Diceros bicornis minor: one gene and its partners. Each later gene encodes a partner of the first gene's protein in a complex. Links are inferred from orthologs where the notes say so. Each region holds a gene or a part of one and is shown on either strand. Other genes may lie near its edges. The genes, in order: EPS15, STON2 and AP2A2.

What was found.
Region 2: the proteins of EPS15 (region 1) and STON2 are in contact, whole or in part, in an NMR structure (PDB 2JXC), measured with the Homo sapiens proteins. The link is inferred for Diceros bicornis minor from reciprocal best matches to the Homo sapiens genes EPS15 and STON2. Residues at the interface, in NP_001972.1 of Homo sapiens: Leu139, Gly148, Lys152, Pro153, Val154, Leu155, Leu156, Asn157, Ser158, Lys159, Val162, Asp163, Leu165, Gly166, Arg167, Trp169, Glu170, His176, Gly178, Met189, Val192, Tyr193, Leu196, Glu197, Lys198; in NP_001353779.1 of Homo sapiens: Trp309, Arg310, Ala311, Thr312, Asn313, Pro314, Phe315, Glu318, Gln321, Asp322, Gln324, Pro325, Ser326, Ile328, Asn329, Pro330, Phe331, Phe334, Phe335, Glu337, Gln338, Glu339, Arg340.
Region 3: the proteins of EPS15 (region 1) and AP2A2 are in contact, whole or in part, in a crystal structure (PDB 1KYU), measured with the Mus musculus proteins. The link is inferred for Diceros bicornis minor from reciprocal best matches to the Homo sapiens genes EPS15 and AP2A2. Residues at the interface, in NP_031969.1 of Mus musculus: Asp629, Pro630, Phe631, Lys632; in XP_006536218.1 of Mus musculus: Phe442, Phe443, Trp446, Lys447, Asp487, Pro488, Val494, Arg511.

Annotation. Positions count from the first base shown.
Region 1 is NC_080752.1:13,901,485-13,911,866, forward strand, and holds the start of EPS15 (epidermal growth factor receptor substrate 15), read right to left. Parts: upstream 4,184-10,382; 5' UTR 4,114-4,183; coding exon 4,081-4,113; intron 1-4,080. UniProt on the Homo sapiens protein: Involved in cell growth regulation. May be involved in the regulation of mitogenic signals and control of cell proliferation. Involved in the internalization of ligand-inducible receptors of the receptor tyrosine kinase (RTK) type, in particular EGFR.
Region 2 is NC_080763.1:28,751,535-28,761,201, forward strand, and holds the start of STON2 (stonin-2), read right to left. Parts: upstream 3,872-9,667; 5' UTR 3,797-3,871; intron 3,602-3,796; exon of another isoform or gene 3,586-3,601; intron 1-3,585. UniProt on the Homo sapiens protein: Adapter protein involved in endocytic machinery. Involved in the synaptic vesicle recycling. May facilitate clathrin-coated vesicle uncoating.
Region 3 is NC_080770.1:1,111,838-1,122,381, forward strand, and holds the start of AP2A2 (AP-2 complex subunit alpha-2), read right to left. Parts: upstream 4,945-10,544; 5' UTR 4,859-4,944; coding exon 4,792-4,858; intron 1-4,791. UniProt on the Homo sapiens protein: Component of the adaptor protein complex 2 (AP-2). Adaptor protein complexes function in protein transport via transport vesicles in different membrane traffic pathways.

The DNA of each region.
Region 1 (10,382 bases):
TGAAATTGAAAATAAACACCAGAAACTGTGAAATTATGGGACATTTTTCCTCCAATTTCCAAATTTTCTGTAATGCAGTTATATCACTCTTGCAATTTAAAAAAAGGGTTGGGGCCAGCCCCATGGCGTAGCAGTTAAGTGCCCACGCTCCGCTGTTGGCTGCCCGGGCGCGCACCGAGGCACAACTTGTCACGTCATGCTGTGGCGGTGTCCCATATAAAGTGGAGGAAGATAGGCACAGATGTTAGCCCAGGGCCAGTCTTCCTGGGCAAAATTTTAGAGGAGGATTGGCATGGATGTTAGCTCAGGGTTGATCTTCCTCACAAAAAAAGAAAAAAGAATTAAAAAAAGGTTAAAAGGAAATGTATTCTTATAGTATTGTTTCAGACCATATACTAAGATTTTTAAAATTAAGTCCCATTCTAACGGCTTTTTCATTATTAAAAAAAAGAATCCTTGCTAATTAAAACAAAAGTTCAGCATAAAGCTGCTGGAAGATTATTTTAAAAACTTATATCATGCCATATTTCAATAAAATAAAACCTTTATCATCATCAAGAGCTCTACTTGCACACAAACAACTGTATTGTTAAGATACCATGAAAGGCATTGGAGACTCAAGCAAAAGATATGGCTTCTATCCTCAAGAAGTCTACTACCTAATTAGGACAACAGGGCATATACTGAAAAAGAGAATCAAAAATTCAAGGGAGCACTGGATATGCCAAGCATCTAGTACACAGAGAAGTACAGTGAAATAGCTCTTGAAGACCTACAGACCTTGGTTCAAATTTTAGATTTACCACTTACTGGTTTATGTAAATTACTTCCCCCATTTGCAAAATGGAGTGTTAGATTAAGTGAAGTACAATTCCTGGCAGAGAGTAACTCCCAAAGAGAAGCTAACAGTATTATTGTTATTATTAAGCTTGAGGAAGAAATAGGCAATTGGAAAAGTTTAAAAAGTATTAATATCTTTTTTGTAATCTACCACCATAAGCAAAAATCACAAGATCGTTCTCACTCAAGTTTTACTTCTTACTGACAAGAAGAAAACAGAACATCTAGTGAAGACAACTGAAATTAGAAAACAGTAAGGGTACACAGCAAAGTCACCAACAGATCTACAAATTATAGAATATGATCTATAAGAAGGAATGTTAGTTGGAAAGGTCCTTGAATCAGCTACTAGAATGTAAGCTTCATGTTTTGTTTGCCTCCAAGCTCTAAGAACTGGTATCTATTTTGTTTATTACTATATCCTTAGTTCCTAGAATAATGCCTAGCACATGAAGAATGCTCAACAAATATCTGTTGAATGAATATTAAAAGTTAAGAAAACTGAGGCCTGGAGATTTAACTCCATGCCATACAGTTAGCTCTTGGCAAAGCTGGGGCTGGAACTAACATTTCATTTCTCTAGTGTTCTATCCTCTCTAGAAGCTAGAATATGAAAATTTAGATAATTTACTTTGGTGGTTGGGGAGTTGGAGGGTTGACTGGCAGGCAGAGGAAGGAAGGAGTAAATTAAAATATTTTCACATTTTTCCCCCAACTGTCAGTTTTGCTTAATAAAAACAAAAAATCATCAACAAGACAATCCCAGCACAGCGCCTAGCACATAATCGGTCCTTAACAAATACTTGCTGAATGAATGAACCTACTCCAAAACCATCATTATCTCATGACCAGAGGCAGAAACTAACTTCAGCATCTGTTTAATCTTTCTAACTGTCATAGAGCCCTTTAAAATTTTCAGTCAATCATAAGACAAAGTCATTAATCACTTTCTTCCAGATGGGCACTGACGGGAGAGAGATGAATTAAAAGGGGTCCCTGCCCTGGAGGATCTCTCACTTAAGTATGCCTATGTCTAAGGGTATTTGTTGGAACCGGAGGGGGGGGGAGGGCGCGGCCGCAGCGCGACAAACACAGATCAATAACGAATGTGAAACCAGGTTGCATTGCTATCTCAGTTTATTTGCCTCAAACAAATTTTTTAATTTAAAAATTTTTTAATTTAAAAAATTAAAGTAAAAAAACACAAATCAACAAAATTTTAAAATAACGAGGCATATTATAGTATAGTAACACTTGGAAAGGTTGTTTTTCCTGTGCCTTTACAATATATCTTATTTCCTCTTAATGTCTTAAAGTCAAAATATTTTAAATTGACTTTTTGAATTATTAATATAAATGAACCATCAAGGTATGTTCTCTCATATGTGAGACATTTAATGATAATACTCCTGATTCAGTATTTACTCTGTACATGTTAATACATAACCACAGGAATATATTTAAATTATTTAACTGTCTATAAAACTGACAGAGCCTGAAGAAAATCTCCAGAGATAAATGACAGTAATTAGAAACTAAAAACACAGTATTACCCAGAGAATTTATGCACACAACTAAGAAGCAAATCTACAAAAGTCTTCAAGAGAACAAAATCTTCAAGAAGGGAAAACTCCTGCCCAACTGACCAACAGAGCCAGACAGCAACAGCCTGCCAAAGGGATCTTATTTAATGCAAGTCACTAACTAGACTCGTAAAGTGAACACCCAAAAGTCAGTGTTCCCATTCCTCCAACTTGAGTTTCAGGAGGGACCCTTCCAAAGAGATTCACAACCAACACCACATTCCAAGAATTCTTCCCCCTTACCTGCTTGTCAAAAGAGGATAAGCAACACCAAACAAACTGCAAAATAGACTCCACTTATGAGTCTGATAATTCCTGCAAACTCAAGTTAGCTATTTCACCTGAGGCACATGTTTAACTGTGACTCCTGGTTTCTGGGGAGAACATTTTTCACTCAGTCTCCCTATCCTAGAGTGCTAGGTGAACCTCCCCAAAGCCTCTTGATCCTAACACAGACAACTCTATGACCCAAATGTATACCCTATCCCACTGTTAAAGCCTTAAAGCACTGACAAATCCAGGCCAAAGAGACTACAAAGGGGCAGAGAGATACTACCAGGCAGGCAGGAAGGTTGGGGTGGGCCCAAACAGGGAAGTACATGGCCACCAGCTGTGGAAAAAAGAGGATGAGAAAGTGAGAGGCTGGGGTGAGTTTGGTCAGAGAAGCGGCAAGGGACTGACGGGGACTCCTTATCACCCTGGACATCATGGGAAGATTGTACTGGGCTTTCTTTGCAGGGAGGGAGGAACGAGGCTCCCAGAGCGAGTGATGTAGAGAGGCTTCCTGGGAAGCACAAGGACTGGACTCTGAAGGAAGCAACAGGAAACCCCGAGAACAGATTCTGGTGAAGATTCCCCCAGGACGAGTGATCTCTACGGTCGTTCCCAGCCCCAAGACCGGTGGAACCATCACACCTGTTAAAGGATGTTTCCCTGTTATCCGCTTGGATAGCGATCAAGTGCGAGTCCACCGGGTGGGCGTGAAAGCAAACTTGAGTAGGAAAAAACTAATAGGGGGTCTGACCCAGAAGGAAACCTGATCAGGAGAAGAGGCTCAATTCGGGAAAGAGCTAGCAGGGAAGTACCTGGGTGAGATGAGACTTTCCTGGACGAGAGGCGCCTGGAGGAAACTGCTGGGGAAGGCAGGGCTTTCGTTGAACTCCAGGGGGAAAAGGCCGGTTTAGACAGGAAAGAGGGGGCCCTGAGCGTCTGGCTCGGGAGGGTGACTCTCACCGGGGGAAGCGCGCTGCCCGGCCCGGAGGGCGAGCCTCGTGCGGGGCGAGGGCTGACCCGCGGGTGAGGCTGCTCCGCGCGAGCTCCACAGCTCACCTGGGGTGCGGGCCTGGGATCAGGAAACTTCCTGGGTGGGGGAAAACTAAGTGGAGCGGAGCGGGGACCCCGGGGCACGCGGCACTCAGCTGTGGGGCGCCAGGGCCGGGGGCGCCCCCGACCCGGGCGGGGTCGCGGCTGCCGCGGCGCAGCTGCCGGCTCGGGATGGCGCCCTCCCTCAGTCACACGCACGCTCTCGCTCTCACTACCGGCCGCCCCGCCCGGGCCGAGAGAACCCGCTCGGGTCGGTGAACCGCAGGCGGTGGGGGAGGGGGCCGGGCCGGGGACAGCGGCCGAGCGAGCCCGGCGGGCGGGCGGGCGGCGTTACCTGTGTCAGGGAGAGCTGGGCCGCCGCAGCCATGGTGTTTCCATCATGCACGGCAGGGGAAGGAAGGACGGGCGGACGGGGGCTCGGGGCGGGGAGGAGGCGGAGGGAGCGGCCGGAGGCGAGGCCCGGGCGAGCGGGCGGGCGTCTCCCTTAACTTCGACAACTTCCCTCCTCTCGCCCGCCCCGCCTCGCCCCTCCTGGCCCCGCCCGCCCGCCCGGCGCAGGCCGCGGCGGCGCCCAAATTCTGGCGCCGGCGTTTCCGCCGCCGGACCGGAGCTTGTCCCCTGGGGCAGCCTGGGAAAACCCGGCGCGGACGTCCAATTAGGGCGGACTGGCTGCGGAGGCGGAGGCGACTCTGGATTGTCCTGTGAACTTTAGGCAGGTCACCTACCTACTCTAAACTTCTGCCTCTGCCAAGTGGGGGAAATTATACCGAAAGTCCAGGATGCTTGTGAGGATTAAATGAGATAATGATAGAAAATAATAAAAGGACTTTATGGCAGGCTCTGTGCTACACGCTTTACTTTTGAATTGTATGAATGGAAGGAATTGAAACACAAATAAATTGTACAAATGAGGAAACTAAAACACAGATTAGGTCATACGGTTTATTAGATAGCCGGATTAGAATCCAGGTCTGACTCCAAAACCTTTCATTTAACCATCTGCTATTAGGGTGTGATATTGAAAAAGTCATTTCCTCCAGGAGCCAAAAATCTAGGTGAGAGAGAGAAGAAATACTTTCCTTGCCTGCTTGCCGCCTGCCAAAAGAACCGAGGGCGGGGGGGCAGCCCGGTGACGCAACCGGTTAAGTAGGCGCGCTCCCCTTCCGCGCAGCCCGGGGTTAGTTAGCAGGTTCGGATCCCAGGTACGCATGACGCACCGCTTAAGCCATGCTGTGGCGGCGTCCCATATAAAGTAGAGGAAGATAGACACCGAGTTAGCTCAGAGCCTATCTTCCTCCAAGAAAAAAGGGGAGGATTGGCATCGGATGTTACCTCAGGGCTAGTCCCCTCATAAAAAATTTTTTAAAAAAAGAGCACTGGGACCTGCTCAGGTGCCTGCAGCACTCCTAACTGCTCCCACAGTTCACCTGGCAAACTCCTCCTACTTTGTCAAGGAACAACTCAAGTATCATTCCCTTTGCAAAGCATCTCCCGACCTCCCCAAGTCAGTCACACACTCTCCTCTTCTTTTTAACATTTCTTCCCTACCTTCTGAAGTCATTATCACCTTAATGACTGTTTACATCTGTCTACCCCTCTAGACTGAGAGCTCCTCAATGGCAAAGACTGTTTCTGATATATTTCCATATCCTCAGACCCTAGTATGTGGCATGTACTCAATAAAGGCCTTAGTTTCTTTCTTTTTTTTTTATTTTATTTTATTTATTATTTTCCCCCAAAGCTCCAGTAAATAGTTGTATGTCACAGCTGCACACCCTTCTACTTGCTGTATGTGGGACGCGGCCTCAGCATGGCCGGAGAAGCGGTGCCTCAGAGCGCACGCGGGATCCACACCGGGGATCCGAACCCCGGGCCGCCAGCTGCGGAGCGCTCTCACTTAACCGCTAAGCCACAGGGCCGGCCCATGGCCTTAGTTTCTGCCTGTGTTAATCGTAACACAGCCTACACTTTCTCACGCTGCCATCTGCAGTCGGACTAACCAACCAGTCACTTGGAACTCTCATCTTTACAGGCTTGGCATATATGCCACCTACTTCAAGCAGCCTTCCAGGAACTCCCACCTCACCTCTTAGTTGTTCTGATACGATCCTCATTATACTCTGCCTTGTTTCTACGAGTTAGTTGAGGGCTTTTCGTTACCCCACTAAACTGTAGAATCCTTGAGGACAGGGGGATGACTCACTACTATATCCTTCTCACAGCTTAGACTAGCATAGAGTAGGCTTCAATAATGTTTTTGCCGGCTGGCCCCGTGGCTTAGCGGTTAAGTGCGTGCGCTCCACTACTGGCGGCCCAGGTTCCGATCGCGGGCGCGCACCGACACACCGCTTCTCCGGCCATGCTGAGGCTGTGGCCCACACACAGCAACTAGAAGGATGTACAACAATCTACTGGAGCTTGTGGGGGGGGGGGAAGGAGGAGGATTGGTAATAGATGTTAGCTCAGAGCCGGTCTTCCTCAGCAAAAAAGAGGAGGATTAGCTTGGATGTTAGCTCAGGGCTGATCTTTCTCCCAAAAAAAAAATAATAGTGTTTTTGCCAAGAATTGGTCTTCCTTTCTCAGTCATGGTAGCTTCCCACAACAACAAACCACAACTCTATCAGGCCCTCACCCGTTTCCATTATCATAGCAGTCCCCACTTGACGTACCATGAGGGCCAACTGAACTAGGCCCAGGATGGAGTTAGCCCCACCCAAGTTTTTAGACCTTTACCACCACAGGCAAACCATGCCAGAAATGCCGCCAGAACCCCATGATTCTACTTAGACCCCTTTTACAAGGTCCAGCCACGAAGAGCCAGACATGCAGGTCTGGTGAGCAACCACTTATTCAAGAGAGTCTCCCTTGGCGTCTTTTTGCTGTTATTCTTTTTAACTCAAGGGAGAAGGGGAGATACTGTTTTAAATTACTCCACCTTGGTACATTTATCACCTGTAACCACAACTGATGTTTCTACTTGACTTTCCTATTTTAGATTATCACATTTGAGCTTCACAACAACACTGAAAGGTAGTAATCATCATACCCACTTTACAGATAAGGTAACTGAAGGTCATAGAGGTTAAGTGATTTGCCCAAGGTTATACAGCTAATAACCAAAGCAGTATAGTGTAGTGGAATAAACAAGGCTTAGACAACAGAAACATCCAGGTTCCAATCCCGGCTGTACCATTTACCAGCTGTACAACCTTAGGGTTGTTCTGAGGATGAATGAGATAACATATATGAAAATACCTAAAGATGTAGATACACGAATTTAGTTAAGAAATCCGAAAGTCATGGAATAAATTGCTAATGGAGTACAAATTCACTTGCTATTCAAGGAGACTCCTCCAAACCATATGAGATACAAGATATTACTCTTGGGTGAATAGAGGGAGTCCCTGGTGTACAGAGGTTCCTAGAAAGGCAGTGTGGGGTAGTAAGGAGAATATTGGAGTCACTTAGTGTATGATCTCAGACAAACTCTTTAACCCATTTGAACTTCAGTCTCTGATGTGTAAAAATGAACAAATCATTGTGGAAAATGTTGAGGAAATATAAGAAATTGTTATTGTTATAATTATTGTGTGATGTAAAGTTAAAAACAAGTTGTATTTATACAATATTGCTTTTCACAGTTTATAAATGTTTTTACATACAACATCTAGTACAACTCGTGGAGTCAAATAGGTACATGATAAAAGTCTGTTGAACGGAACTGAATGTATAGTCTCATGTGTAGCTATTTTTTGGATCCTCATTTTATCCCCGTTTCACAGATAAGAAAACCAAGGAACAAATATTTTATAAATAACTTGTTTAAGTAAGGGCCACTTAAAGCAGGTTTGGGCCTTGCTGAAAATAATAGTAATGATAATCAGACTCCTCAGCAAGAGAAGACTAGCTAAAAATCATTAGATGGGAATTGCCCCAGGCCCCCTTCTAGACCCCCAATAATTTGTACTGGCTTCTTTCTCTGCTCATTGGTTCTGGTTTAAATTAGAAACTTAACATGTAGTGGGGGATGGGAGTGATGGTCCAATCTCCCAAAAAGGCCTAGACCTTCTGGAACTGAAGTTTTTTTAATGACACACCAATGACAGATTGCAAATGCATGTCCCAGATCTCATCAAAGCACTGGGTCATATCCCAAATCTAGTTTGAGAGAGTAAAATGTAGCTAATAGAAGATATGTTATGATCTAATTCGTTATAACAAGAATGAGCTTCACGAAGCAGAGGAAAATGACTCACCTGTTTTTTCTAGGGCAATTTAATGTCTCTGGGTCTCTAAGCCTCATATTCCTCATGTGTACATTGGAGATGATAATACCTTGTAAGGATGGTGTAAGGACTAGAAATCATGCATGAGTGTCCTGTCATAGAGCCTGGCCTGGAATAGATGTTCAATAAGTGGTAGTTATAAGGACACCATTCTTCTAGATCAACATTTAACTCTCTACCCCTCAGACAACTCTACAATTGCTAAGTCAGTTGTGCAGATACATTGGCTATAAGAAAGGAGTGCCTTGAACAGCTGACACACACATCCCTGTCATTGGAAAGGTAGATGTTCCCTACGTAAGTAAAGTTGTATCTGATGACTTAAATCTGGATACTGATAACCACCACTAGCTGCTTTCATATGTGTTATTTCATTTAATCCTCCTGACAACCCTATAGGGATTATTATTAATTTTGTTTTACAGAAGAGGAATTTGTCCAAATTCATAGTCACAAGGCTAGGAATTATACATAGATCTGACTCAGATGTGCTTTTTACTAGGGCATGTTGCTAGAGTCCTACAGACGTTGATCACCCCCACGAAGACTTGATAAAATGGGGCTTTGGACCAGGGAAAGCTGAAGATGAGGCTCTGGATTTCTAATAACCATAAATGCAAAGATGATCCTGAAGAGGAGAACTTAGATCATGAACAGCTTGGTCAACAGCCTATCTTTCCATCTTTCTATCCTGCTCTAACTCCCACTCCCTCTCCCAACCTACCCTTATGGGAAACCACGGCTACTTTTATTTCTTTATTTTCCAACTTTTGGAGGTGACTGTCATATCAGCTCTTTATGAACACTACATGTCTGTGATGTCAGCATTTAGAAATGCAGGATGATTAATTGAAACTATGGAAAAAAAAAAACAACTGTGAAGAGCTGTCTGAATATACAAAGAACCAGGTTATTTGCATGAGACTTTGAGAAAGGCCTTCCACATAAATGGTGCTAAGCTCCCAAAAAAAAAAATGATACTACAATTGTAATGGTAATCTGGAGCTCATGCTTCCAAGCTGCTGGTTTCATAAATATAGCCCATTATTGTTCATGTTTGCCCGGGGCAGAAAGAATATGTGAGGCTGCACAATAATAACAATTGTGCTGCACAAATAACTGTCCTTGTGCCAGGGACTGAAAAGAACAAGCAGTAAGAGATTTTTAAATGCCACACACACCCAGGGTGTGATAGGACAGTTCAAAATTGTCGTCATCACTAATTTTTTAGGGCAACAGGGTGTCTTGGGAAGAGCCTGAATTTAGATCTGGGAAGGCCCAGCTCGGTCCAGTCTTGGCTCTGCAACTTCCTGGTTTTGTGACCTTAGACAAGTCAATGAACTATACCAAGCCGTTGTTTCCTCTCCTATAAACTGACGGTAATAATAGCACCTACCTGATAATGCTATTATGATGATTAAATGAGGTTTCATGTGAAAGCAGTTAGTCTGATACTTGACACACAGCAGATACTAGGTAAGCGTTAGCTCCTTTTTTCCTACTGGAGAATATTTAGGTTTAAGAAGACAGAAATAAAACAGGAATCGTTTTTAAAGATCTTCAGTCATTTACCAAAGCCTACTCTAATGGTTTTTTGAAAAAAAATTTATTCACCCATTAGTAATATTTATTGAGCTCTATAGAATAAGGGAGATTATTACATTTATGGCCCAAAAGTTGCATTGGCTTCTACTGAGCAAGCAAATGCAGTTTTACACTTGTCCTATTTTCTTTCCTTTTCCCTTTATTTATTTATTTTTCTTTCCTTATGAAGGGTCCTGGAAGCTATCAGAAACCAAAAGAGCACCATGGGAAAGAAAATATTTGTACTCAAGGCTGTAGGTCCTTTCATCTGCAGATTTCAAAGCATTGTCTCCCTCACTAATCACTAGCCCTGCTTAACATGTGGGAATGCTGAGACACCATCAAAATAAGAAGCTTGCCCTAGATCACAAGGCAAGTCAGTGGATGGGCTACAGAAAGAACAAAGCTGTCCTGTTTGCCAGCCTCAGGCTCTAAAGTAGGACACATGAGAGTCAACAGAGAGGATTCAAGTAATGAGGAGGAAAGTTTGGGGAATTCTGATTCTGTATCTTTGAATCATTGTGGTGACAAGAGCATGGGCTTTAGAGTCAAATTTGACTTCAAATCTCAGCTCAGCTCCTTATTGACTCTGTAACCTCAGTCAAATCATAAATTGTCTTAGTTTCCTTCTCTGTAAAATGGGGATTTTAATTCTTACTTCTAAGGCTTTGGGGAAGGTTAAATGATGAAACTTTTGTGAAAGAGCCTAGCACAGTGTCTAGCGCTTAGCAGGTTCATGTAGTCGGAGAAAACTAAGACACCGTAC
Region 2 (9,667 bases), on another chromosome or scaffold:
GAGGGGATAAAGCAGCGCTTGTATGCTTCTCACTTGTATGAATCCGGGATATTTTTCATTTCCTCACTATGAGAATTACATCTGTAATTTAATATAAACCTAGAGACTCTTCCAGTCTCTCTTCCAGACCCCACTGCTCATGGCCAGAGTCAGCTTTCAGCAAAACTGCCACAGGGAGAATGCTTGGACCTTCCAGACTTTTCCCTCCTTCCCTTAGGCCCTTCTATTTAGTTCTTCCCCTCCACCATGTCTTAATTTCTCCCTTTAGTTCAGTGGTTTTCCAAGTGTGGTCTTTGGACCGGCAGCATCAGCATCACCTGAGCACTTGTCAGAAATGCTAATTCCCAGGCCCACCCCAGACTTACTGATTCAGAAACTCTGGCGGTAGGGCCCAGAAATCTGTGCTTCCTCAAGCCCTCCAGGTAATTCTGATGCACACTGAAGTTTGAGAACCACTGCTTTACGTATTAAAAAACGATAACTTTAAGATGAGAGAGTCTGTGCATTTTGGGAGAAGACAGAAAAAACACAAGTCACTCAAGTGCCTAGTGAATCATTTTCTAGTAGTGGAATCTCAAGTCACGTGACAGTGAGAGAGAGAGATTTGCAGCTGCTCTATTAGTTCAGACCCCCATCATCTCTTGCCTTCAGTCTCATCTATTTCAATCTCCCCACATTGCCACTAGGGATGTGTGCTCGGCCTGAAAATCTGACCAACCGTGTCAAACCCCACTTCAAATCCTTCAGTGGCTGCTCCTTGCCCATAGGATAAAGTTCAACTTCCCTGGCACACGACCCAGGGCTCTTCATCATCTGCCTTTGGGAGGCCTCCCTGGCCTTGTTTCCTTCTGCACCTTCCCTCCTACTTGGCCATACCTCACTGCCTTTAGGAGGCTTATACCTCTCCACACTACTGATATAACGTTTGGCCACGTGACTTACCCCCGCCAACAGCACGAGAGCTGAAGTGACCTCTGCTACTTCTTTTTTTTTTTTTAAAGATTTTATTTATTTATTTTTCCCCCCAAAGCCCCAGTAGATAGTTGTATGCCATAGCTGCACATCCTTCTAGTTGCTGTATGTGGGACTCGGCCTCAGGATGGACGGAGAAGTGGTGCCTCGGTGCGCGCCCGGGATCCGAACCCGGGCCACCAGCATCGGAGCGCGCGCACTTAACCACCAAGCCACGGGGCCGGCCCTCCTCTGCTACTTCTAAGCAGACGTTAAGTGCCATAGTTTTCTTCTGTCATGTTCTCTTTTTTCCCTTTCCCATAAATGAGATCAGTCTTGTCCCAGAAAGAGGTTGTTTCTCAAGCCTTAGTGGGTCCCAGAATGAAGACAGATGAGGAGCAGAACCAAAAGCAACCTACACTGGACACACAGCATACATGAGAAATAAATCTTGGTGGCTGAAAGCCACTGAGATTCGGGGGTTATTTTGCCTACGATGACTATTATAGCACTTTTGATCTCCCAGATCCTCTGGAATGTCTTCTCCCCTCTGCTCTACCTTTCTTGCAAACCCACCTAAAGCCTGTCTGCACAAGAGACTTGCTCATCATTCTACACTCAGCTCAGATTGAGTGGTATCCCCTCAATCAAGTCTTTTTTCTTTCCCAGGTATAACTGATCACTCCCACCTTCTGGACCTCCTCTGGATGTTACAGATCTGTAACTATGTCCCTGGAACTGTGCTAGGGGCTTTCCATTCATTAGCACCACCCTCAGAACAACACCTCTAAAAAACCTTTTTTGAGTCTTCATTTTACAGAGAGACTTTGGCTCAGAAAAACACAGCAATTTGTTGAAGTTTCCCAACCATCAGCCACAGGGACAGAGCTCTCACCAGGTATGGATCTGGCTCTGAACTCAGCCATCTTTCCCCTGCCCCACATGCCTTTCTCCCTCCTCCAGCAGGAAGCTTCCAGACCCTCCCACTCTGGTGGAGAGAGTAAGTCTCCTTATCAACAACTGAAAGGGCTGCTGAGTTAATTTGACACTTGAAAGATTTGCATCTGGAAGTGGGCTTCTTACCCCCTGAGAAGATAATCACTTTCTCTAAGTGGATGCACTTATTCTAAGGCTCCTGGCAAATGCACTTGGAGACCCTAGGAGAACTAGGGCATTTGCTCTGTGCGCTTTTCCCACGTCCCAAGCTATGGGGGTAGTGTAGTGTGAAAAGACAGACAGATTCCTGCTGACGTCGCCCTATACAACCTTCGGGAAGGTCCTTTTGGGTTTGTCACAGGGTACGAGGTAAGTAGCAGATGGTTCAGAACTCCAAGCAGGTCTGCTACATATGATATTTTATTTAGATTTCAAAAAGAAAACTGAATGGGGCCAAATGTTTATTGGACTCTTCAGATTAAACAAGAAAAGTGACACAGTGGCAAAGAATTGAACCAGACCACCCAGGTCAGACACAGGAAAAACCGCTTAAAGTGGGAACTGCAATTTTAGGTTTCCACGAGCTGCTGGCATTTTGTTGTGTGGTTGAGTTTTTGTTTTTCCTTTTTTCTCTCTCACTTTTTAAACTTTACTTGTTTGTTTAAGGGAGGAGTAGACGATATAAGAACCTTCCAATATTTCCCCCCAAATCAGCCATACTAATGAAAGACAAGCATTCAACAAAGTACCACGATATTCTTTTCAAACAACATTCATATCAATTTTTTCAAGGGTTACAAAGCTTTTCTCAGCTATGAGTTGGAATCCATTATCTCTCACTATGCCAATGGAGCAGGTTTTTAGCCTTCAAAGGATATATTACCTTTAAATGATACCGTCAGTAACATTAATAATAGTATTTCCTTTCAAGTGTAGAAAGCTGTTCAGAGCTCCAAATGGTTGCTGGGCCAGTTTGGACACGTCTGATTTACCCTTTAAAAGACCTCCCACTCCGTAGAGTAAATAATAAGAGCCAGCCTTTATTGAGCACTTAGCGCTGTCCCGGTGTTTTTCAGGCACTGGCTCATTTAATCCTCAAAACAACGCTACCAGGCAGGTAAAAAGCATTATCGCCACACTCCAGATGAGGAGAGTGAGGCGCAGAGAGCATGAAGGACCTGCCTAAGAGAGAGAGAGACAGGCAGTGGCCGGTGCTGCACAAGACCACAGTTAATGATTCACTCACAGCCCTCAGGCAGCTCCTTTCAGTAGGGGCTGCACCACACACACACACACACACACACACACACACACTTCAACTCTCTCCATCCCGGCGAGAGGCGGGCGTCCAGCAAATTGCTTGGCAACGCGCATTTGCAACTCCATCCAAAGCCCGGGTCCGCCGGGTCCAGGCCGCCTCTGAGCGCTGTCCAGCGGGCAGCGCGCCTGAGAGGCCAGGCTGGAGTCCTGTCTCCGGACACCCCGAAGGTGGGGCAGGACGCCAAAGCCCCGATTTCAGGTACGGGGGGAAAGGCGCCGTCCCCAGGGACACCTGTTGCCCGCTCCCACTCGGGGCAATGAAGACGTCCCGGGGACCCAGATCAAGGGGAAGACACCCGTTGGCAGTGTCTATGCATGGGTGCGGGGCTCGCAGGTGTCTTCTCCCACCCCAGCCCCGCCCGCCCGACGCGGACTCACCCCCCCCTTCCCACTCTCGGACGCCCGCGGCTTGTGGAAACGTCGCGCCTCCCCGGGCTCCCACCGAGGCAGGCGCGGGGGCCGCGAGCGGCTCGGGGCAGCACCCGCGGCGCTAGGACCTCGCGGCCGGCCCGCCCCCCGCCCGCTCCACCTGCGGGCCCCTCCGGCGGGGCACGCTCGCCCTCCCGCTGCGGCACGGGGGCGCCGTTACCTGCGACGCCGCCGGCAGGGTCCCGAGTGCCGGCCAGAAGGTCGCCGCGGCACAGCCGGCTGGGCTGGTCCGGGAGCCCCCCGGCCGCCGCGCTCCCGCCACGCTCCCTCCCGGCCGCGGTGCAGCCGCCGGCTCCCGACTCCGGGCTCGCTCTGCGCCCGCGGGCTCCGGGCGCCGCTCCCGCCGCTCCTGATTGGCCGCCGCGCGCGCCCGAGCCGCGCCCTGATTGGGCAGCCGGCAGCCGGGGCGGGGAGACGGGCCGGGCGCGCCTGGAGCTGCTCCCCGCGCCCCGGGCGCCGCAGCCTCGCGTCCCTGCTGCATCCCGGGGCCGCGATGCAGACGCTGAAACCCGGATCCTGCCCCTCTGCGCCGAGTGGAGCCGGCGGTCCAGGCACGGGGCGGAGCGGAAAGCGTCGCTGCGAGCAGCACGGGGGTAGCGGGGAGTGGGGCTCGCTTTGGAGTCTCTCCCACACCCCCGTGGCAAGGCTAGCCGGCGGGGATCGTTGCTTCTCCGGCCTCACTCCTACATGGGATTTTGACTTCGTGTTCATTTTGATACTTTTACTGTATAAAGAGCTTAGGGACGCAGGGCAGTGGTTTGTAAACAGTGGGTGCCAAATTGTGCTTGTAGACTCAGACTGCACTTTACGCACCATCTCTATGTGGTCCAACCGGAGCTTGAAAAGGGGAAGTGATTTGTCCAAGGTCCTAATCACGTTAACAAACGATTAAGAACGAGAAAGATAGTGAGATCTTCATTTACAAGGAACTTAAGACCTAGCTAGGGAGATGAAGCTGAATAATAATAATAACTCTAACGTTTCCATGGTGCACTTTATTTGTTGGACACTTTTCCAAGTGCTTTGCATATATTAATTCAGAAATACACGAAACAGCTGTCATAAGCGTGTCCGTAAGTCCTGAGAAACGTGTGGACAAGCGACATCGGTTTGGAGTATGGAGAGATTTTCATCTGGAAGACACAAGCAGGGGCTGGCCCCGGGGCTGAGTCGTTAAAATGTCGGGCACTCCAATTGGGTGGCCTGGGTTCGTGGTTTGGAACCCAGACGCAGACATACGCCACTCGTCAAGCCATGCTGTGGCGGCAACCCACATACAAAATAGAGGAAGATTGGCACAGATGTTAGCTCAGGACTAATCTTCCTCAAGAAAAAAAAAAAGACACACTGAGTCTATACTGTGATAAAGAGGGACAAGTTAGAATGGAGAAGGGTTGTCAGGAATTAAAATTGTTCCCATTTTCCATCTCTTCTCCCATAGTCTTTAGTCCTCCCAACATTTTCTTCCACCTGCACCGAACCTTTCTAAAGAATAGAAACAAATACTGTGAATCAGAATGCCACCAGACCTTTTTCTACCACTCATAAAAGGACTCCCCTCTAAACACCCAGATAGACAATGAATAGAAACAAATAACACAGTTTATGTTTTAGAACTATGGAGTTTGGTTGCACTAACGTGTTGAAAGCAAGTACATAAGCATTTTCCTACAGATATTTCCTCCTGGTTCTATTCTCCTATGTTGACAGAACCTTTGATCAAGAAACTTAGCTTGGTAGAGAAGTAGTTAAAGACCCTAATGAAAACCAGCTTGACCCACTCTGAACAGCCTGATTTTTGCCCTAGAGTGAGATTAAAGTCATTTATTTTGAAGAGCCCAAGACCCTAGGAGGAAATTAGCTCAGTTTTCCCCAGTTCATATCAATGGGCAACCAATCGATCCACTCTCTATTGAAAAGATGGACTAGGCATGGGTGGGGCCTCACCTGGTAGGGACACCAGAGCACAACAGACTGTGTGAGGAAGGTTCTTCACCAGCGTCCCTCTCCAAGCATCAGAAGCACATGGAGACATCAGCCCATCACTCCGGTTGCTCACTTTCCATAGCTGTGGCTTTTGCCAAAGCGGAAGCTCCATTTGGATTGGTCACAGTATCCCTCCAAAGAAGAAAGGCTCTTTCAGCCAGAGAACTAGGCTGACCCAAGATGATTTCTTAAATAGATAGACCCTGGTCACATTACACTAAACTCTGCTGTCTGGAAGGACAAGAAGAGAAAGAAGAATCTGGATCCCACCATATCCACTCTGGAATCTTCGAGAACTGTTTATGTATCCTTCTATCTCCTGTCTCATCTAGCAAAATGATTTGCTTAGCTCTGTCTCCTGTATCACATTTCTTCTCTGGCGACTCCTACTTAGCACTCAAGACTCAACTGGAATATCCCTTCCTCCATGAGGCCTTCACTAACTCTCCCGGGCAAAGGTAGCGATCCCACTGCCTATGTTATATCCCCATTACAGCATTGTAGTGATCGGTTTACATGACTATCCACCCAACTAGTTATCCCCAGTGCCTGGCCTATAAATGGAAGGTAAAAGGTACTCAATAAACATGAACTGATTGACTAAAATCGCTGACAGGCTAATAGGGTGGCATTAAGGAGACTGGGGCCACACCCCTATCCTGGTCAACAGGACATCCTCCAGTTCCAGGCTGGGTGGACATTTGGTGTGGGTCAAGGTAATCATCCATCCAATCCAATAGTGAATAGGTAGTTTCTGTATGTCAGGTACTGTCAGAGAAAGAGAAGAATAATTCTCCCTTAAATGTACACAAGATAAAATGGTGCAGCTGATTTAGAAAACAGTTTGGCATTTCCTCAAAGAGTTAAACGGAGTTACCATATGATGTAGTAATTCCGTTCCTAGGTATATACTCAGGAGAATTAAAAAACATATGCCCACACAAAAACTTGTACATGAATGTTCATAGCAGCATTATTCATAATAGCTGAGAAGTGCAAACAACGTAAATATCCATCAACTGACAGATGGATAGACAAAATGTGGTACATCCATATGATGAAATATTATTCAGCCACGAAAAGGAATGAGTAGTGATACATGCTACAATGTGGATGAACCCTGGAAACATTATGATCAGAGAAAGAAGCCAGACACAAAAGGCAACATATTGTGTGAGTCCATTTAGATGAAATATCCAGAATAGGCAAATCTATAGAGACAGAAAGCAGATTAGTGGTTTCCAAGGGGTCATGGGAAGGAAAAATGGGGAATGACTGCCTAATGAATATGGGACTTCCTTTTGGGGTGATGAAAATGTTCTGGAATTAGATAGTGGGTATGGTTGCACAACTTCGTGAATATCCTAAAAACCACCAAATTATAAATATATATATATATATATATATATATATATGTCCACAGCATGCATTCTGAGAGTGTGGCAACTATCAATGAATGAAATGTTAAACTCTAAAGTATAGTAGCTGAAAGTGTGGAAAAACAGAAAATCCTTAGAAAACAATTAAAAATCAGCTTGTCTCCCCCTCATGCTCCCGCCTTCAACAACCCAGAGAAGACTTACTCCTTGATCTGCATTGTCCAATTGAACATTCTATGATGATGGAAATGTTCTCTATCTGAGCTATTTAATATGGAAGCCACTAGGCACACGTGGCTGTTGGACACTTGAAATGTGGTTGGCGCAACTGAAGAACTGAATTTTAAATGGTATTTAAATTTAAATAGCTACTCTACTGGCAAGGTAGCTTTTGACGGTTTCGAGGACTAGAGCCATCTTAACTGGCAGTTTGGAACAATACCGGAGGGCATGGGAGCGGGAGAGTCTATGTCTTTATGTCCCACAGCCCAGCTCGACTCTGTACCCACTAGAAATCCTTCAATAAGATCTCACTGGTCCCACCTTCTCCCTTCTATGAACTCTTAATGAACTTTGTCAATGATACAGTGCTTAGTTTTGTTTTTATGGCAAGGTGTTTCCATTCCACAAATATCTGTGGACCAAGCACTGTGTGGACTTCTGGGAAGAAAAAGGATTGAAGACAATGTCAGCCAAATTCCAAAGGGTTGGTTCTGACAAGGCTGAGAGGGAGAAGGGACAAGAGAAATCCCTTACAAGGACCTGGTTCCTTCCCTCCAACATCCCCCGCTCACACACACACACACACACACGTACTCTTCCGAGTGGGAAATCTTGCTATTAAGATGCTGAAGTGATGGTGAAGAATCTTTATTTAGATTTCCTGTTTCCAATTCAACCCCAGAAATGTCCTTAACTCCTTCAATACACCTTTCAGTTCATGTTGATCTTTCCCTTCTATGAACTTGCACTGAACTTGAAATCGATAGAATGTAATGACTTTCTAAGTGTTCTTCTGTAATGTGGTGTCCCCACAGCAAGATTCATTTGTTGCACAAATGTTTATTGAACTCCTGCTTATTTTTGTGCCAGAACAGTCCTAGGGACTGTGGATAAAAAGAATGAAAGACAGGGTCACTGGACAACTTAGAGGCTAATGAAGAGGCACACAAAGGAACCGTTTGACAGAGTTTGGGTTAGATGTGTAGGAAGGTTCACTGAAAGCGCAGGCCAAGGAGCACCTGGGTGTACACAGAGAAGTCAGGGAAGGCTTCTCAGAGGAGGTGACATTTGAACTGAAGGAACTTGGAGGGTAAGAGTTTTTAAAACATTTTTAAAAAATTAATTCATTTATACTGTCCACCTTCCAAAATTGGATTTGAGGTAGCATGTCAGGAGAAGTTTGGGGACAAATGTTCAAAAGATTGTATTAACATCAAGGTCCAGCTCAACATATGTGACAACATCTTGCATTGCTGATGAGGGTACTAACTGGACAGTCACTCTTGCTGCCCTCAAGGCCTATTCCTGAGAGTAAAACAAAATAAATACAAGACTCTCTGATCCCAAGGAGTTTAAAATCTCTCAACCATACTATTTCAATACTCTTTTTACTGGTCTCTTGTGTTTTTTCTTATTTTCTTCTATTCCAATGTGTCCCAAATTTCAGTCATCTGTGTCCCACCATCACCATTCTTACCATATCCATGTATCACCTGCACTATTATGTACTTAATTGTTTCTTTGCTCAGCTTTATTGAAAAGGAATTTTCATATGATTATCAACAAGGAAAAACCAGTATCACTTGCCATAAACAGAACGTTAGCCACAAAAATCATACAATGAAAATAAAACCACAATATCTAATCTTAGCTGGATATTTTTTTGTTGGCTGCTGAAAGTTTTGAGTTTGAGGCTCTGTTCTTTCTTTGATAAAAAGGAAGATTATCAAGGCTTGGAGGGATATTAAAGACACACTGGCACCAAACTGATCATTTTTCCTTGGCTGAATCAAACATACTGAAGGAGAATTGAGAAAAGGATAACTCTCTCACTCCGTGAGCCAATGAAATTTAATGCCCCTACTGCATTCCACTTAGAACCAGCTTCTGCATCAAGTTAAAATCAGGTCATCCTGGGTACCACATACTCATAAACACTGCTCTGATCCATCCCTCTCATAGCTATCAGGGTGATCTAACACGTAAATGTTATCATTTCTCTCCTACTCAAAATCCTTCAATGGCTTGTCATTACCTAAGGGATAATTGTCTTACCATGGGATACAAGAGCCTCCTGGATCGGGCTTAGCCTATCTTTCCATCCTCAACTTTTGTCATCCTCCTCTTTAACTTTATATTCCACCAGTGCTGAACTATTTGTAGTTCCCAGAATGTACCATGTACTCTCATGTCTCTGTGCCTTTGAACATGCTGTTCCCTCTACCTGGTATGCTGTTTTCCAACTACCCCACCACCAATTTATCCATTTCCCTTCTCTGCTCATTTATATTTATCTGCCTAGTGCCCCCCCCACACACACACACCAACCAAAACAGCATTCCTTTTGGAAACACCTGCCTATTTCTTCTGGGGGATCTCTCTCTACTGCTTCAGCCATGTGTTTCTGGCAGGGACTGACAAGTTCTCCCACAACTCCACTCCCC
Region 3 (10,544 bases), on another chromosome or scaffold:
AGGGAAGAATACATAGATATTTCCTAGAAGCAGCAACCCAACCTTGGCAGAAAAACTCAACCTGGACCAAACTTCCTTCCTCCTCCGGCTTGGTGGTTCGTCCCTCCCACACCCTCCATCACATACTTCCTAAATCAGGTTCTAAGGAATATAAATTATGTGTAAGAGTACAAAAGAAAATATGCAAGAAGAGCATTCTTTTTCAAAAAGTCAGCATTTTAAAAATGTACAGTCAAGGCTAAAATGAACCTTAAATTTTTTTAAGAACCTTAAAAGTTAAAAAATAGACTGACAAACTCTGATTCTGATCTTTATTACCACACAGGAAAATCAAGTAGTACCAACTTTACACTTAATTTTTATACTGAAGTTTAAGCTGAATTTAAATTTTTATGTTCAGTTTCTCCTTGTCCAATTTATGACTCATTACAAGTGGAATTTTATGAACAAATAAAATTTTTTAAACTTTAGTCATGCTAAAATATAATTCAAAGGGGTGCCCAATTTCAACCAAGTTAACAGAAAGGACCAAGTTTTGTGAGAACCACAATGAGCAGAGCAGTGATAATTATTCTAGGAGTTTATCAATGCGCCTGCAGAAAAATTGCATGCTTTCTCCAAGAACATGGGAAATTCGATTTTTGCCAAATGGCTAATTGCATCTCTCCACTTGTTCCCCTCATTTGAGTGAGTGCCAGGAGTGATTAAATAAAATGCCTCCAAGCACCATGGAAGTGTCTTGACTCATCTGCATAGCCCCAATGCCCACCACCATGTGCAAGGAGGAATAAATGGCAATTTCCTGCCCACTGGCCACGTGACTGGTCTCACAAGAATAACCACCTATCTCTTCTCCCCTTTCATAGTAGTCCTGATTATTTTGCAGTCAATTCTGAGTCTGACAATATTTTCAGCAGTTTTATGTTCTCTACAATATTCTAGTGTTGGCATAAAGACATGTTAATTAAGTTATATATGACTCTCCTTCACTGATAATCACATGCATAAAAGCAAACAAAAGTTCCAAAATAACTGAATAAACAGCAAATAACTATTATTTTCCCAATTTCAGCAGTTCTTTCGTTTTCTTTGAATCGACTGCCTGAATATAATGTCAATCAATGCAATAGACTGGATGGATGTCAAGGTGACTGTGCTGAGTGAGAAAGGCCAATCTCAACAGGTCACATACTACAGTAGTTCCCCCTTATCCGCGGTCTCACCTTTCCATGTTTCAGTTACCTGCCGTCAACCGTGGTCCTCAAGTATTAAATGGAAAATTCCAGAAATAAACAATTCACAAGTTTTAAATTGCACACCCTCTGAATCATCCCCTTGTCTAGCAAATCCATGCTGTATACACTACCCGCCCATTAGTCCCAGTCATCAGGCTGTTGTGGTATCGTGGTATGCTTGTATTCAAGTAACCCTCAGTTTACTTAATAATGGCCCCAAAGTGCAAGAGTAGGGATGCTGGCAATTCAGATATGCCAAACAGAAGCCGTTAAAATGCTTCCTTTAAGTGAAAAGGTGAAAGTTCTCTACTTAATAAGAAATAAAATCATATGCCGAGGTTGCTAAAATCTACAGTAACTTTCATCACAGTATGTTGTTATAATTGTTCTAATATTATTTACTGTTGTTAATCTCTTACTGTGCCTAATTTATAAATTAAACTTTATCACAGTTATGTATGTATAGGAAAAAACACAGTATATACAGGGTTCGCTACTATCCGTGGTTGCAGACATCCACCAGGGGTCTTGGAATGTATCCCCCGCCCCGCAGAAAAGGAGAAACTACTGTATACAACTCCATTCACACAACATCCTTGAGATGTTATGTAGATAGAGAACAGATGGAGAACAGATTAGCGGTTGGGGGAAGTAGGTTTGGCTATACAGGGTAGCACAAGTGGGCTGTGCTGTTATCTTGATTGAGGTGGGGGTTACACAAAGCTACACGTGATAAAAGTACAAAGACCTACACACACTCGTCAGTGCATGTAAAACTGGTGAAATATGAATATGCCCAGTGGACTGTACCAATGTCAGCTTCCTGGTGTTGAAACTGGACTGTTATGTGAGACGTCCACCTTAGAGGAGGCGGGGTGAAGGCTGCTGGGACCTTCCTGTCCCTTTCTTTGCAACTTCCTATGAACCTATATTTATTTCAAAATAAAGAATTATTTTAAAACTGGGACTAAATAAAAGGATTAGAATTTTTTTTAATACCAATTAAAAAAGAGAGAGAGAGAAACAGTTTACTAACTCCCACACGCTGAACTCACATTAGCGGAATTCAGTGACCCCTGGGCTGAAGTTAATCAGAAAGGATCAAGTTAATTCTACAAGGCACTGAATTAGTTCACTACCTGAGCCACAAAAGCTACAGGCTTAAGCAGAAAGGCATGGCACAGGCACCTTTTCAAATCCTGGAGCATGTTCATTGCTGCCTGTTCTAAGAGGAGTAACATTCCCAGCCAGTAAGCTGGGAACGGATTACTAACTTGAAGTGCAAATAAATGCAGAGCATGCTCTTAGAAGGTCTTAAAGGGGGAAACTTAAGAAACTAGCTTAGAAAGGTAAAAAGGGAGCTGCAATTTAGAGCTGAAACAGACTATAGTGATACCTCAGCTCAAAATCCACCCCTCTCTGTCAGTTGAGGAAACTGAGGCTCAGTGGCCGGCGGGTTCCAGTCATGGAGCCAGTGAGAGGCTGTCGGAGTGCAACCCCCTGCTGCCAGCTCAGTGTTCTGTCTCCAGAGCCTGGCTCCATCGATCACCCTCACAACAAGAAAACAGTAAGCACACAATCAGGGACAGGCAGTGAAAGGGGAAGCAAGGACACCTCTCCCTGCCACACAGGGGTCAAGCTCAGACCAGCTCTGGCTGGGGTTCACTTTCCAAACCCATCTCTAGCCACCGGCCCACACTTGCTTAGAATGTTAATTCTCTGCTGTTCCTCACACATCTTAGCCCTCTGCCTGCAGTGCCCTTGACATAAAATTGGCCTAAGAATCACCTCCTAGATGAAGTCTTCTCTGGCTCACCCATCTATTCATTCACTCAGCATGTGTCTCGTGCCAGACGCTGTGTGAGCAGGGGCGGAGTGACGTGACGAGCAAGACAGACGTGGTCCCCACCTTGCAGAGCTTACAGTGCAGTGGGGCAGAGCACCACAAGCTGACGACACTGCTCTGCAGAGCTACAGGTGAGGGGGAGCCGGACATTGAGGCTGCAAAGGTGTTTCTCAGGAAGGGGCTGTAACAAACAGAAAGCTGGCCAAGAAGGACCACGCACTGCTTCTTCTTACATACGTTCCTTCAGGGGAGAGATTGTCTTGTTCACTGATCTACACCAATGGCTCTCAACTGGGAGCAATTCTGCCCCGCAGGGCAACGTCTGAAAACCTTTCTGGTTGTCACAACTGAGGCATCCAGCAGGTAGGGACCAGGGACGCTGCTAACCACAGGACAGCTCCACACAACAAAGAAAGATCAGACCCAAATGTCAGCGCGGGGGTGGAGAATGTCCCATCTCCACAGTCAGTCAACAAGTGTCTGTGAGTCCTCACTATGCGGCAGGCCCCTTCCAGTGAAACACAGACCCAGCACAGAACACACGTCTAATACATGGGTAACTGGCTGTCTGAGAAAATGGGTTTCAATCTCAATGCCTTGCCCAATGCAGTTTTCCTCCAAAATGGAAGGACAGACGTCATAGATAATTGAAGGCTGCTAAGCAGTAGCACGCACACACTTAGCTCTGCAAGATGCACTGTGAGTATAAAAACTATCGTCTCGAAAATTACATTCCATAGTAAAGGAAGAAAAAAAGGAGAATACTGCCCCACTTGTAAAAGCCCTGATCTGAGGGTGTGTTCCTACACTGATTTCTTGCAGAGTAAGGGAAGGGCCAGAGGGTCTCAACTTCCACGGTCCGGGTTCTCCACCCCAGTCCAGGGAGGTGAGGGGTTCAGGGGAAGGCTCAGCAAACAGCATTCACCAGTAGGCGAGGCTACAAACATTCTTCTAAATAGACATCAAACCTAAGGCGGGAGACAAACATCAGAGCCACCGATCTGGGGGGTAACAGGGAAAGAATAAAACACACCAGACAGGAAACGGGCTCGGTGTTCATTTTTCTAATTAAATAAAGAGAACATTTCTGAAAACCAACAGGAGTGTCTGCACACCAAAGCCATATTTCCTGGTGGGCCAACCGTACCCCGGGGCCCGATCCACCTTCTGGCAAGCATTCTTCCACCCTGAGGGAACACGCGTGCCGCTGAGAAGGCCTCCCCGACGGGACGCGGCGGGCACCGCTGCCCGCGAGGCCGCCCCGCGCCCCACCGCCCGCGCCCGGCCCCTCGGGGAATGAATGAGTCACTGCATTCGCGGCGCAACGCGCCGCAGAACCGGGCCCCGGGCCGCGTCCCCGCAGGACCCCGTTCCGCTGCTCCCACCCCAAAGGAAAACCCGGGAAAGGCTGGGTTAAATGCTCCATTACCAGAAAGACGGAGACGGCCCGGGATGACATCATGCGGGGAGGGGCGTCTCCGCGGAGCCCCTCGGCCGCGCCGCCGCCCCGCACCCCGCCCCCGCCGCCCCCGCCGCCGCCGGGCCTCGCCGCACCCCGGGACCCCCGCCCCGCACCCCCGGCCCCCGCCCGCACCCCGCCCGGCCCGCCAGGTCCGCGCCCCGCGCCCCGGACCCCCGCATGCACCCGGGACCCCCGCCCGCACCCCGGCCCCCGCCCCCGCAGGCCGGCCCCGCGCCGCGGCCACTCACAGTTGCGGATGTCCGAGATGAAGACCGCCAGGCCCCGCATCCCGTCCCCCTTCGACACGGCCGGCATCTTGGCCCCGGGGAGCGCCCGCGCTGGCGGGCCCGGGAGGAGGACGACGAGCGGGGAGCAGCCGCCGCCGCCCGAGGAGCCGCCTCAGCCGGAGCCGCCTCAGGCCCCCAGCACCGCTTCGGGGCCGCCGCCGCGCGCGCGCGCACGCACGTACGCTCGCAGACACGCGCACGCGCACGCTCGCGCGCGCGGCGAGAGACGGCGGCCGGGACGGGCGGGGCGAGAGGAAGCGCGCGCGCGGCCGCGGCGCGGGGGCGAGCACGTCGAGGGCGGGCGCGTGAAGGACTGCGCGGGGGCGCCCCCTGCAGGCCGATGCCCGGGCGGGGCAGCGCTGGGATCCACGGGTTCGCGTCCCGCGGTCCCTGGCGGCCTGCCCAGCTGGGGGCCCCAACGATCCTGCCCAGCCCAGGGGCCCCCACGGCCCTGCCCAGCCAGGGACCCCACGACCCTGCCTAGCCAGGGTCCTAGGGCAGCTTGCTGCCGGTGTTGGGGGCCGGTCTGTGTCCAGAGCTCTGAGGGCCTGTGCACATCACCTGGGCTGTCCAGAGCCAGCCCCTTCTTTACAAAGGGGGAGGCTAAAGCCTGAAGAGAAAACACTGCCCACCTCCAGCCCTGGCATCAGATGACCGCAGGGCCCAGACTAGAATCTGATCCCTCAATGCCCAACCAGGGCCTTTAACACTGTTGCCACCACCGCCTCTCCCAGCAAGGTGGAGGCAGAGGATGGCCCCTGTGCGCCCACCCCGCAGAGCACTGCAGGGGCCTTGGCCTGGGGCAGACCCCTAGGGATTCTGTTTGCAGAGCAGGCGGCCCTGCCGAGCTGAACTATATGAAGCCAGATGGCTTTGAAGAGGAAGCTCCCTCCTCATCGGGGTTATCCAGGCCCTGTACCTAGAGCTGGCCCAGACCCACGAGCAAGACGGCTGTCCCACCCTGGCTCACTTCCTCAGTTCCCAGTGAGAGGTCAGGCCTGGGTGGGCCCCTCCCACAGACCAGGCACCCCACCCAGACACCTCACCCAGGTTCTGGGCCTCCGGGACCCCTGGGGGAAACCACAGCCCGTGGAGACCCAAATCCTTATAAGGCAGCAATTTCGCCACTTTCCAAGACCTTCCAAAGAGCTGGGCCAGCAGAAGGCATCCTGGAGGAGGGGAGACCCCCAGGGCCAGAATCCCCATGCCAGGAAGTAGCCCTCCCACAGCCAGCCCAGGGGATTCAGACAAGGAGACCCCGACCCACCCCCAACAGCCACTCACACGACAGGGCAATGCCTGGAGGCTGCAGGGCCCACCTGTGGACGGACAGGGCCCAGCTCAGCCTGAGATGGAGGGTGTCTCGAAGGAAGAGCTTGGAGCTAAGTGGGCATCCCACCTCCTCTCAGTGCTGCCTGGGCCTCCCAAGCCTCCTGGGATTCCCACAAGTGTAGGGGTGGTGGGCAGGTCCCCAAAGCCTGATGAGACACACAGGCCACCATGCAAAAGACCCCTTGCCTCCCATCGGTGCCTTAACCTTCCCAGACATGCAAGCCCTTCAGGTCGCTTATTACCATCAGGCTTCGGGCTTCTGTCAACGCGGCCCTCCCTGACCACGGCCACTCCTCAGTGAGGGACAGGCTGCCTCTAGCAGTGTGCAGTGCTTGGAAACAGTTTCATTTCTTAAGTTGCCTGAACTAGGCATCTGTCACGTTTTAGCCACTCGTGGTCACAGCACTGTTCCCAAGGGCAGGGGTGGAGCCGAGATTCTCTTTTCTCCATCCGTGAGCATTGGGAGGTGAGAGCCCCACACACTAAAGCCTAACACTTGAATCACGAAGGAGAAAACGAAGGCTGGGGAGCCCAGAGCCTACAGCGCACGAGGCCACGGTGTCTGGGGCATCCTGAAGCGTTAGCTGGCTGTGTCTCCACTCCTACCCAGACCTGAGCCTGCTCAGGCCTCCTGTCAGTTTTACAAGTGACCCAGTTTCCTTCCCATAATCTCTGGAGTGGGTCGCAGACAATGACTCTTCCAGAAAATTGGGGTTGGCAGCCTGGTCTAAGCGTGGCTAGAGGCTCTGAGCACCCATGTGTGTTCAGGGACAGGGATGTGACAGTCTTTGGTGCTCCATGGCTACCTGTGGTCGCCAGGAATGACATGCTTGGGGAAGGCCAGGCTCCGGAGACTGAGCACGTCCCCTGCTGTGGATGGTGTGCAGAGCATGAGGAATTCAAGAATCTGTGGTGGGTTCATTTTCCTTTTTTGCGTGTGTGAGGAAGATCAGCCCTGAGCTAACATCCATGCCAATCCTCCTCTTTTTGCTCAGGAAGATCGGCCCTGAGCTAACATCTATTGCCAATCCTCCTCCTTTTTTTTCCCCTTTTCTCCCCAAAGCCCCAGAAGATAGTTGTACGTCATAGTTGCACATCCCTCTAGTTGCTGTACGTGGGAGGCCGCCTCAACATGGCCGGACAAGCGGTGCGTCGGTGCATGTCCAGATCCGAACCCGGGCCGCCAGCAGCAGAGCGCGCGCAATTAACCGCTAAGCCAGGGGCCGGCCCCCTGTGGCGGGTTCATTTTCGAATGAAGCAGGACCACTGAAGAAGGAGAGTGATGAGCTCAAAGTCCTAACTGCTCATCTCAGGGTGGCAGGAAGCTGCCTGACTGCAGATCTCATCTCTGACAGCCACAAAACTGAGCCCACGGCCACACACAGTAGAATTTGGATTGTTGCGAAATAGCCACAGAAGTTGAATCTATGGCCTCCTCAAATGTCTTACGGGAAAGCTAGAGTGCTGGCGGGGCATGCGTGGGGCCAGGAGAACTGGGATGGTGTACGTGGGACAGACTGGGGGACCCCAACTCTGCTCCAAGAGGCAAGAGCCCCCTGGCCAGCCTCCACAGCCCCTTTTCCCCATTGGACAAAGTTGTCCCCATACTTGAAGACCCTGTAATGACATCCCTTGAAGGAGTTGCTTTGTAAGAGAAAAGTCAGTTCCCTTTAAAGACCACTGGCCTGGCCCCATCCCTTGAGACCTGGGAGGGTCAGGTCCCAACACAAAATCACACACAGATGGGGAAGGCTTAGCTGCCATGAGAACTGCAGGCAGTTGAGTTTATGTCGGCAGAGCTCTGCAGCATTTACATAGGATGGCTTCCGAGAGAGCAGGCCTGGGACAACAGATCTGTCCCATGGGGCACCCAGCAATCTGGGTCAGCTGAACCAGCTCGGGCAGCCAACTGCCTGGAAGCTGGACTCAGGGCGGCACATGTTAAAACAAGGTTGAGATGGCAGAAATTCCTGGATATAATGCAGAGAAAGGAATTCAGAGATTTATTCTCTCCCAGTCCTGGAGGCTGGAAGTCTGTGATCAAGGTGTGGGCAAGGATGGTTCGTTCTGAGGCCTCGCACCTTGGAGTGTAGATGGCCGTCTTCTCCCTGTGTCCCTTCACACCGTCTTCCCTCTGTGCACATCTCTCTCTCTCTGTCCAAGTTTCCCCTTTTTACCAAGACACCAGTCATTTTGGATTAGGGGCCCACCCTACCCCAGTATGACCTCATCTTGATTAATTACACCTGCAATGACCCAAAGTAGGTCCCATTCTGAGGTGCTGGGGTGAGGACTTCCACATGTGAACTTTTACGCGACACAGTTCATGCCATAACAGATGGTGACGTGAGCGCATCTGGGGACCTGATTTTGAGTCCAGCCCCTTTTCCATCCTACCTCCTTGGAACAGGGTTTTGGTAGTTGGAGCTCTGTCTCGAACTGTGAGGATGAGCACCACACCCTCCACTGTGGGGTTGGTTGTGGCTAGGGGCTCTGTTGCACACTGCCACACCTAAATCCTAATTAATACCTATTCCCATGCCCAAGGGTGCTGGTCATTGAAGTTTCTGGGCCTCTAGGGGCCTGGGGCATGTCAGGATGCCCTCCTATCCTATCTTGTGGCTTGTCATCAAGACCACTTTGCATCCACCCACCAGGGCTCAAAGGGGCTTAACAAGGAGGAATGTAGCGGGTGACACCTGGGGAGGGGTGGAGGAGACGGCTATGAAAATTCTGCTGCCCTCCCCCGCCATGCTGCCAGATCAGGCATCCTATTCACCCCTAGAGCAGGGACTCATGACCTCCAGTCTCCCTAAGTTACCTGTTGAAAAATACACCCCTTGACCTTAAAGGCTAGACCAGCCATGCCAGCAGCCAGCCCGCTGTCCATCACTGAACAGACCTCGTGGTTTTGGGTGTTTTGTGGCAAGGGCTTCCATCCCAGGCCAACATCCACCCACCACAGCTCCTTCCTCTAAGAGCCCAGCCAGGGTGAGCTGATGGAATATATGCCAATTTTAAGATTAGCCTGAGAAAAATAGCTTTAGGAAAGAAAATATAGCTAAAAATATCAGTTCAGGCCTTTCAGCACGACTGTAGTAGTTTCCTGGGGCTGCCGTAACAAATTACCACAAAATGGTGACTTAAAAACAACAGAAATCAATTCTCTCACAGTTGTGGAGGCTGGAAGTCCAAGATCAAGGTGTCGGCAGTGTTGGATCCCCCTGGAGGCTCTGAGGGAGACTGTTCCTTGCCTCTCTTCTGGCTTCTGGTGACTGCCAGCATCCTTGGTTTGGGGCTGCATGGCCCCAGTCTCTGTCTCCATCTTTCCTGCCCTTCTCCCTTGTGTCTGGGTGTCTCAAATCTCCCTCTCCTTCCTCTTAGAAGGATCCCAGTCACTGGATTTAGGGCTCATCCTCAATTCAGGATGATCTCATCCCGAGATCCTTAATTACATCTGCAGACACTCTATTTCCAAATAAGGTCACCTTCACAGGTGCTGGGGGTTAGGACATGGACAACCTTTTGGGGTCCACCATTCGCCCCACTACAGCCTCCAAGAAATGCTGTCCCTTTGGCCTCATCAACACATATACTGCCCCTCTGCTTTGTTATAGGGGTATTATAAGGTGGGTGGTGTGTTGTGAGAAGCATAAAAGCCATGACTGATGCCACAAAGCACACAGCCCTGTGCAGGGCCACCTGCCTCTCGCAGACACCCACCTCAGGGCCCAGCACCTGCCCAGCCACTGACCAGACACCTACATGCCAGACAGCACATGGTGCCCAAGGCATAGCCGTCACCCTGGCCAAGGCCAGACGGGCGGGGGGCCCCCACACATGGGACACAGACAGAAAATCTGCTGTGCTGGCTCTGGAGCTATAGCCGGAAGCTTCTGCTGCACGTGAGCATGCCCCGCTCCCTCTCTCTTCTTGCTCTGGACTTTGCTTATCCAGCACCCAGGGAGGATGTCTCCAGCCACAAGCAAAGGGAAGGCTCAGCAGCAGGAAATCCTGATGTGTATCCCTCTTCCTGGGCTTCCGGCCTCCAGACAGGAATGTTTCAAGGCCCAGTAGTGATAGGACACAGTCAGTGATAGTGGCCTCCTGGGCCCTGCCCTTGGGACAACCCCCAGCCGAGGCCACCCTGTTAATACAGGACGAGTCACGAGTTGGCCCTGCCAGGAAGGGCCTTGCCTTGTGCTGACTCAGCAAATGAGCAGAGGCCCAGTGCTGCCTACGAGGCCAGGGACCCCACCCTCACTCCATCTGCGGAGCATTGCCCAGCCAGGGGAGACACAAGCCCAGCCCTCAGAAACCCCACAGCCACCAAGCACACCCAACAACCAGATGTGAGTGCTCTTGGGGTGTTGGCCATATAA